2 linked regions of the Macaca fascicularis genome follow. The protein of the gene in region 1 interacts with the protein of each later gene in a pairwise test. Links are inferred from orthologs where the notes say so. Each region holds a gene or a part of one and is shown in the gene's direction. Other genes may lie near its edges.

Region 1 (4,499 bases):
CTCACGGCGGGAGGGGCAGGGGGTGGGGGCAGGGGGTGGGGCCAGCGCCGCTTTACCCCGAGGCCCAGACAGGCCTGCGGGCGCGCCAGCTCAACCTTGGTACCTTTCCCCAGGTGATGGTGAAGGAGCGGGGCTTTACCTGCCGCCCCCAAATCACTTCCCTTCCCAGTGGCAAGGGCGAAAGAGGCCCGACTCCCCCACTGGGGCGGTGTTGACCCAGGATGGCCCTTCCTGGGACCCCGGCCTCCTGGGCCTTCTGTGGGACGACAGGCTTAGGCTCTAGTCGGTCAACACACCTTGAAGAGGGAGGAGGTCACGTGCAAGATGAGTCACGACAGAATACGAGGGTTGAAGGCGGTATTTGTCTCACCGGGGACCTTGCAGTTGCATTCTCAACTGGGTCAAATAAAGGGCAAGAAAGAAATGTCTTTCTCTTTTGGGGGAGTGAGAGTTTGCGAAAAAACTGTTTCCCACCTCATCCTTTCCGTCCTAGGATTCCTTCTATCCCCCAGAGCGCGTCCTCTCCGGCTGTGGACTTCCTTTCCCTTTACCCGCTGTGGCTCTTCAAACCTCTTCACCTGCGGAACCCGCCCTCACCTTTGTTCCCAGGTGCCCAGCCCCCGCCTCGGCAACCTTCGCCACCCAGACTCGCTCTCCGCCCAGCTCCCACGTCCCGGCCCCGGCCGCGCTCCCTCAGGTGCGCTTCCTCTCGAATAGGCCCTTCTCCCCTAGCCGCCGGCCCCGACCCTGCCCCACTCCAGCTGTCCAGCTGTCCTGCGCAACTACGTTTCTGCTTCCCTGCGCCACCTGTTCTCCTAGCCTCCCCCCACCCCGCCCCGCGATTCCTCTGGATGTTCACTCCTTCCCGAGCAGTGCCACTCCTGGCAGCGGCCCGGGGTGCGCACAGGCACCTAGCCCCCGGGGCTTCCGCAGGGGAATCAGGCGGGCGGCGGGGACAGCCCGGGGCGGGTGGGGGAGGCGGGCGGCGAGGGCGGAGTGGTCTCACTCTAACCCAGGAGTGACGGGCCAATTCTGGCCCGCCTCCCGAGCTCTCGGATAGGTGGAGCCGCCCTCTGGTCCGCCCACCTCCCGCCCTGTGCTACCTCCGATTGGCCCGGCTGCGGGTTGGGCCGCTCGGCCTTAGCGCTGGCCCCCGGGAAGGCAGCAGGGGCGGTTGAGAAGTGAAGTCTTGGCCGGAGTTTGCTTCTTGCCAGGAAATCCGCGGTGGCGGCGGCGGCAATTCTCGGCGGAGCGGAGCCGGGCAGGCTCTCCGCTCCCTCAGCGGGCCGCGGAGAGCGGGAGCTGGTGGCCGTGCGCGGCCCGGGCAGCCGCGCTTTCCCAGTGAGTAACTTTGCCCTGCCCGCCTCGCTGCGCGCCCTCTCCCCGGCTGCGGGCAGCCGCCTCAGGTGCGGGCGTCGGCTGGGTGTGGAGGAGCGCCGCGCCCCGGGAGGCGGCCGGAGCGGCGCCGCTGCTCGCCCCGGAGCTTTGGTCGTCCGCGGCTGTCTTTGCTCGCCCGGGCTGCGGGGCTGGCGTGGACTCCGGTGTGGGGCTGGTCGGGGAGGGAGAGTCGGCGCCCGGTGCCCGCCGCCTGTAGGAGCCCTGGAGGCGGGCGGCCTCCGGCTGTTAGCATTTGCTGGTTCCGGCCACCGCGGTGCAGATCTTGGCGTCGTTTGCTTCTTAAGGGAAGGGAGAGGTGGGGTGAGTGTTTAAATTTCCTGTGTGTGTGTGTGTGGTGTCGGCAATGCGAGTGGCACTAGCTGCCTTTGTCGGATTTTGTTCCTCTGCAAAGGGATAGGGAGAGATCGTTCCCTCCGCCCTAGCCTGTTGCCTGTGAATTCTCACCTTTCTCTTTAGGCTGGAGAGGGTGGGAGATAGATTTGACATATTCCAGTGGGTAATTTAAAAATGCGAATCTTGATTTGGAACCAGTTGCACACAAAGCATCGTTCAGGAAATACATCACTCGCTTTTCAAAGCTTTATGCCACGTTTTAAACAAGGACTTTTGACTCATGTAGTGTTTCTTCTAGTATTTCAGTTTACGTTGAGTTTATGAATCCAGACGTTCGTTTGTGCCAGGAGCTAAAGTACACTTATGCATGGACTTTGCTGTATTTATTATCCTTTTTAAAATCACAGAAATCAGAAACAAAGTTGAGTGAAGAGCGGTGGCGGTGCAGGAGGAGGAACACTTGTGAGCTCCAGCTTATTGGAACTGCCTTTAAGAATTTCACATTCTTGCGGCAATAGTACTTACTTGTAAATTGGCCTTCTTCCCAGGACAGATTTTGATATTTCTTTTGCATGTACTTCGATGCAGCACTGATGAAGTTGGATCTCAGTAGATCAATTTTATTTACTTTGCTAGATTTGATTCCCACCCCCACACCTCTTTAGAAAATGGACTTTGGCAGGTAAAGAAGGAAGCGGGAATCTGGTATCCTTTTTGGCTTGTCAAAGCTTTGTTGAGCCATGAATAACAAAGTTTTGGCTTTTTAAGCTTGTCCAAGTCCCACATGTGAGTTTTCCCATGGGGTAAAAGTAGGCCAAATGAGAACCAAAGTAGAATAACATTACTTTTAATTCGGCCCACTTGTGTGTTACATTCTCCATATATCTTGTTTCTCTCGTCTTCTCATCAGCTTTGACATTTTTTCATTATTTATTCATTTAGCCACTGATAAAGTACCTACTGCATGCCAGCCATTGATGGCAGGGGTTAGTTCTTGCCCAGAAGTTTTCTCATTTGGAAATTGATCCATGCTTTTATCCCGCTAGTTACCGTGAAGTAATTTGAACTTAGGGAGCATTTCTGCCTGGAGACCTGTAAGAATAGGTGTTACGTAGGCACCTAGCCTTCAGATTGATTTGGGATATCGTACATTGTAGGCACGGAGCACGCAGGCCACTTAAAAATAAATGCATGTATCTTTGGGCTGTTGTATTATGAGCTTTGCATATGGGCTTGTCTGGCCGAAGGACCCAGTGTCCAAGGTGGAAGTAGTAGTCAGGGACATGTATGGTATTCATTTCAGAGCACTTGGCACCTTTTCTTGCTTACATTGGTCACTAAAATATTTACTGAATTGACTTGAACAGAAAAATGAAGGATTTTGTATACCAGATTAAGAAATTTGGACTTTATCCAGTCAGTGATACTGAGCTGCTAATTTTAAGCAGGAGAATGTCATGATAACATTCGCGTTCCAGAAAGATATCTGCAGCATCTGGAGGATGGTGGGCTTCCAGATGGGCGGTATTGAGACTAAGTTGGAGGCTGTTATAATGGAGGGGTTAAGTGCTCAGGGATTCTCTATTCAGATTACCTGGGGTGGAATCAAGCTCTGTCATACACTGAAACCTCTTTGTTCCTTAGGTTTTTCATCTCAGAGTTTGGGGGATAGAACTTGAAAAAACATGTATATTACTTAGAATAGTGATTGCCACATAGTAAGGACTTAGTAAATGCTAGTGTGCTGGCAGTGGAAGGAGAAACGACATGGCATTTAACGCGTATGACTAGGAGGCTGGACCAGGTAAGTGACTAGATAGGCTTAAGGGAGGGGAAGGATGAATCCTGGGTTGTTTGATTTCAGGCATTGATTGACATGTACTGGGTAAGCTGGCTGTGGAATTAAAACGGGTCAAATTCTAATTCTATTACTTACCCTTAGAATTACTATCCTGACAGAACTTTGATTTCCTAATATTTGGGAAATGATTGTCATACCTGTTCAATAGGGTTTGAGAAATTACACATGTAATGCCTTTGGCAGGGTACCTAGCACATTCCAAGTGCATAGATGATGACGTTAATGAGCTAGTGGAATGTTGGAGGATATGAGAAGAAGCAGTTAAAAACAATTGATGGTAGAGGTGTGGAAGGGGAGATAAGTTCAGTTTTGGACCAATCTAAGGAGGTGCTAAATGGATGGTTGAGAGATCCATGATGCAGTTGTTGGATAGTTGTGTCTCACAGGAGCTAGAAAAGAATAGAAAAGAAAAAAAAAGAGTTCACAGAAAGCCTTTATGGGTGTGGTAAGCTTTATAGGCGATTTAGAGGAAGGGGAGGGTGAAGGGGTTCACAGTGGAGCAATGTCAGAAGTGTTGACATTGAATATTAGGCATTTCTGTCCTTAAAATACATTTTGGCCACCATCAAAGAAAGAAGGACTCCAGGCTCTTGTAATCTGGTTGGCTCTTCGGCCTTCTCCCCCTCTTCTTTCTTTCCTTTCTGACTGCCACCCCAAAATTCAAATATCTTTAAATTGTATTATGAAGAACTATTTAACTTCCCCTCCTGCTTACAGGGCCATAGTTCACAGGCCCACCTTCCTCTATCCAAATGCTTCTAGGTTTTTAAAAAAGAATCACAGGTCTCATTTCATAGGTTCTCCTCTGTTTAGGAAGCAGTGTTGGTTGAAAAAGTTATATATATGTATTGTGCATGTAGAATTTGAAGACTGGGGCAGGCCTACCTAAATTGAGCCTGTTGGAGGG
Region 2 (4,486 bases), on another chromosome or scaffold:
AGGTTTGCTCATCTAAGACTCAGCTCAGACCTCCCTAGGTGGGGCGGCCAGGGTGGGGGTGGGGAGGTAGAGAAGCTGAGTCCCCCAGGACTTCGGAGCTTCTTGTCCCCCACCCCCTACCTGGAGGGCAGACCACAGTGTTGGGCAGGGACAGACAGGTGGACATCCCCACTCTACTCAACTTCTGTTGATTCAGCCCAGTTCCTGCCTCATGGCCAGAGCGTCCCCTCCCCTGTCCTCTCCTCCCCCAACTCCACTCCCAGCACCTGAAAACTCCAGTCACCTGTGCCTTGGCTGGGCTTTAAGGCCAGGTGACTGGGCCTTGAGGGGTTAGAGGAAGCCCTTCCACACTTTTTTGTGTTTTTGGGTTTTTGGAGACAGGGTCCTGCTTGGTGGCCCAGGCTGGAGTGCAGTGGCATGATCATAGCTCGCTGCAGCCTCTCAACTTCCCAGGTTCAGGTGATCCTCCCACCTCAGCCTCCAGAGTAGCTGGGACTACAGGCACACTTCACCACACCTGGCTGATTTTTAAATTTTTGTTTTTGTAGGTTTTAAAACTTTTTGTAGAGATGTGGTACCACTATATTACTCAGGCTGGTTTCAAACTCCTGGGCCCAAGGTATCCTCCTGCCTTGGCCTCCCAACGTGTTGGGATTACAGGTGTGAGTCACAGAGCCCAGCCTCCACATTTTCTTTTCTTTTCTTTTCTTTTTTTGAGATGGAGTCTCACTCTGTTGCCCAGGCTGGAGTACAGTGGTGTGATCTCGGCTCACTGCAAGCTCTGCCTCGCGGGTTCACGCCATTCTCCTGCCTCAGCCTCCCCAGTAGCTGTGACTACAGGCACCCACCACCATGCCCGGCTAATTTTTTGTATTTTTAGTAGAGACGGGATTTCACCATGTTAGCCAGGATGGTCTCGATCTCCTGACCTCGTGATCCGCCTGCCTCGGCCTCCCAAAGTGCTGGGATGACAGGCGTGAGCCACTGTGCCTGGCTTCAGCCTCCACATTTTCTCGACAGGGTCTTTAAGACCTGGTTCCCAGAAGGGTGGCCCTTTGGGAGTTCAGGGTCTCCAGCTCTCTCAGTTTCCCCAGCTACCGGGGTCCAGCCAGACTGCAAAGCTGCAAAGTCCTAAGACCCCTACATCTCCCGCCAGCCCCAAGCCCAGCAGTACAAAGCACCATAGGACCACTCTCTTCCTCGCAACCCCGCTAATTGCGAGGCGCCAGGAGTAGGGTCGACCTGGGCGCGCCTGCGACGAGGCGGGGCCGAGTCGTCCGGGGGCGGGGCGGGGCGGCTCCGGGTCTCCTGTCCCCGCCTGCCCTGACTCACCCTCGCGGCCCGCCCGGGAACTCTGCGGGAGTCGCGGCAGCTCCGCTCCCAGAGACCCAGGAGTTGGGCCCAGCGTCCCTCCCGGAACGGTGAGTAGGTGGCTCTTCGCCTCTGGGTACCCCACGAGGTGGCGGGGTGGGAGTCGGACCGGGAGTCCCCGGGTCTGGACAAGGGGCAGAGTCGCTCCAGGTGCGCTGGCCCTGTGGCCAGGGCAGGCCGTCCCGACACACCAGGAGTTGGGGTGGGGGTGCGGGCTGGGGCAAAGGGAAACCTGGCCCACGAGGTCCCTGTCCTGGGAGCCAGGCAGACCCGGCCAAGTCTCAGCGTGAAGATAAACAGGCTGAAGATAAACTTGATTTTGGGGATCTCAACCACTTCCCCCTCCGTTTGGCATCTGGGAAGACACTGACAACTCATCCCGGGGAGACCCTCAGAGTCCCAGAACCTACCACTTGGGGTGGGTTCAACCAAGCCTGACCTCTGGTGCTCTTGAACTTACAGATGTCCCAGATTTTCAAGTCCGTTAGCAGAGGCAGCTTGCAAAACTACCCCCCTGGGAATCCACGGGCCTGGAGCCTGACCCAGGACGGGCTACAAAGATGCCACCCTCCCCCACCCTAGACCCTCAGTTTCTCCCTCGTATAAAAGGTTGAAGCTCGGCCGGACACCGTGGCTTACGTCTATAATCCCAGCACTTTGGGAGGCCGAGGCAGCCAGGTCACCTGAGGTCAGGTATTCAAGACCAGCCTGGCTAACACCGTGAAACCCCATCTCTACTAAAAATACAAAAATGAGCTGGGCATGGTGGTGCATACCTGTAGTCCCAGCTATTCGGGAGGCTGAGGCATTAGTATTGCTCGGACCCAAGAGGTGGAGGTTGCAGTGCGTTGAGATTGGGCCACTGCACTCCAGCCTGGTCGACAGAGCGAGACTCCATCTCAAAAAAAAAAAAGGTTGAGGCCAGGCACAGTGGCTCACGCCTATAATCCCAGCACTTTAGGAGGCTGAGGTGGGAGGATGCTTGGACTCAGGAGTTCAAGACCAGCTTGGGCAACATAGCGAGACCCCTATCTCTACAAAAATTACAAAAGTTGGCTGGGCATGGTAGCATGCACCTGTAGTCCCAGCTACTGGGGAGGCTGAGGCAGGAGGATCACTTAAGCCCAGGAGTTCGAGGCTGCAATGAGCTATGATCGCGCCATTGAACTCCAGCCTGGGTAACAGAGCAAGACCATATCTCTCTCTATTTTTTTTTTTTTTTTTTTTTTTGAGATAGAGTCTTGCTCTGTCACCAGGCTGGAGTGCAGTGGTGCGATCTTGGCTCATGGCAACCTCCGCCTCCAAGGTTCAAGCTATTCTCCTGCCTTAGCCTCCTGAGTAGCTGGGACTACAAGCACGCGGCACCATGCCCAGCTAATCTTTGTATTTTTAGAGATAGGGTTTCATCATGTTGGCCGGGATGGTCTTGATCTCTTGACCTCGTGATCTACCTGCCTCAGTCTCTCAAAGTGCTGGGATTACAGGTGTGATCCACTGCATCTGTCAGGACCCTATGTCTTAAAAAAAAAAAAAAAAAGTTGGGCCTTGTGTTCTACAAAACCCCTCTTAGGGCTGAAAACTGCTGGATGTTTCTTCCTTGTTCCCTGCCTCTTAGCATGGGCTGTGCGTGTGGAGGGTCTCACTCTTCCACCCTTCCCCCAGCAGGAACTCACCAACACATATTTTGGAAGCAAGTGGCTTGAGGAGGACCTGGGAGGGAGGAGGGGTGAGGCATGGGTGGAAGGAACCAGGGCTGGTGGGAGCCACATGGTCTTAGGCTGGAAGGTCTTCCAGCCTGGCCTGCTGCAATGCAACACCGCTCTTATGTGCTTTTGGCAAAGATGCTGTTTTGTTGTTGTTGTTTGATTTTTGAGATAGTTTTGCTCTGTTGCCCAGGCTGGAGTGCAGTGGCGCAATCACGGCTCACTGCAACTTCCACCTCCTGGGTTCAAGAGATTCTCCCGCTTCAGCCGGGCGCGGTGGCTCAAGCCTGTAATCCTAGCTCTTTGGGAGGCAGAGGTGGGTGGATCACGAGGTCAGGAGATCGAGACCATCCTGGCTAACACGATGAAACCCCACCTCTACTAAAAATACAAAAAATTAGCCGGGTGAAGTGGCGGGCACCTGTAGTCCCAGCTACTCTGGAGGCTGAGGCAGGAGAATGGCGTGAACCCGGGAGGCGGAGCTTGCAGTGAGCAGAGATCGTGCCACTGTACTCCAGCCTGGGCAACAGAGAGAGATTCCATTTCAGAAAAAAAAAAAAAAAGAGATTCCCCATTAGCTGGGAGTATAGGCGCCCACTGCCGCGCCCGGCTAATTTATTATTTTTAGTAGACACGGGGTTTTATCATGCTGGCTAGCCTGGTCTCTAACTCCTGACCTCAAATGATCTGCCCGCCTTGGCCTCCCGAAGCATTGGGATTACAGGCATGAGCCACCATGCCCAGCAAGATGCTGCATTTTAATTAAGAGGCTGTCTCCCAAGAGGGAACAGAGCGGTTGCAATCCTACAGGCAGGACCTGGAGGCTGGATGGGTCAGGCTTCGAATGCCACTTGAACTGTAGAAGCTTGAACAAGTTATTTCTCTCCCTTGAGTCTGGAAAACAAAGTCCCCGACATCGACACTGCCTGACTTGGGAGAAAAGGAGGCGTTCAGTGTCTGGTGGAGGAAGCTGAGCGTATATACGTCCCATCGTTGTGTTTTCCCTGGCTCTGCCCCAATTCTTCGAGCCCCTGTTCCCACCACCCCTTCCCCCCACCCCTGCTCAGACAAAGTGGGGGCCTGTCTTGTGTCTGTGGAAATTTAATGGCAGGTTTGTGAGGATCAAGTTTGAGTCATGGAGACAGATAATGATAGCCCCTGTGGCTGCCCCCCGGTCCCCTGAGAGTTTCTGCCTTCTTGTCTATGATTGTGCACCTGGGATGGCTATTGGTGGAGCTCACACCAGGGTGGCAAGGACAGGAAGTTGGTCCCGGCTCGTGTTTGTGTGCGTTTTGTGTGATTTCTTCTGCAGTCCCCAGAGTCAGTAGTTTTGTTTTGTTTTGTTTTGTTTTTTTGAGATGGAGTCTCAATTTGTCACCCAGGCTGGAGTACAGTGGCGAGATCTTGGCTCA

Evidence for each region. The genes of interacting proteins can lie anywhere in the genome.
Region 2: the proteins of LNX2 (region 1) and LRRC8E interact in a two-hybrid assay, tested with the Homo sapiens proteins (3 studies listed by BioGRID and IntAct). The link is inferred for Macaca fascicularis from reciprocal best matches to the Homo sapiens genes LNX2 and LRRC8E.

The regions. Positions count from the first base shown.
Region 1 is NC_088391.1:7,597,256-7,601,754, reverse strand, and holds the start of LNX2 (ligand of Numb protein X 2), read left to right. Parts: upstream 1-1,155; 5' UTR 1,156-1,341; intron 1,342-4,499.
Region 2 is NC_088393.1:8,599,891-8,604,376, forward strand, and holds the start of LRRC8E (volume-regulated anion channel subunit LRRC8E), read left to right. Parts: upstream 1-1,325; 5' UTR 1,326-1,421; intron 1,422-4,486. UniProt on the Homo sapiens protein: Non-essential component of the volume-regulated anion channel (VRAC, also named VSOAC channel), an anion channel required to maintain a constant cell volume in response to extracellular or intracellular osmotic changes.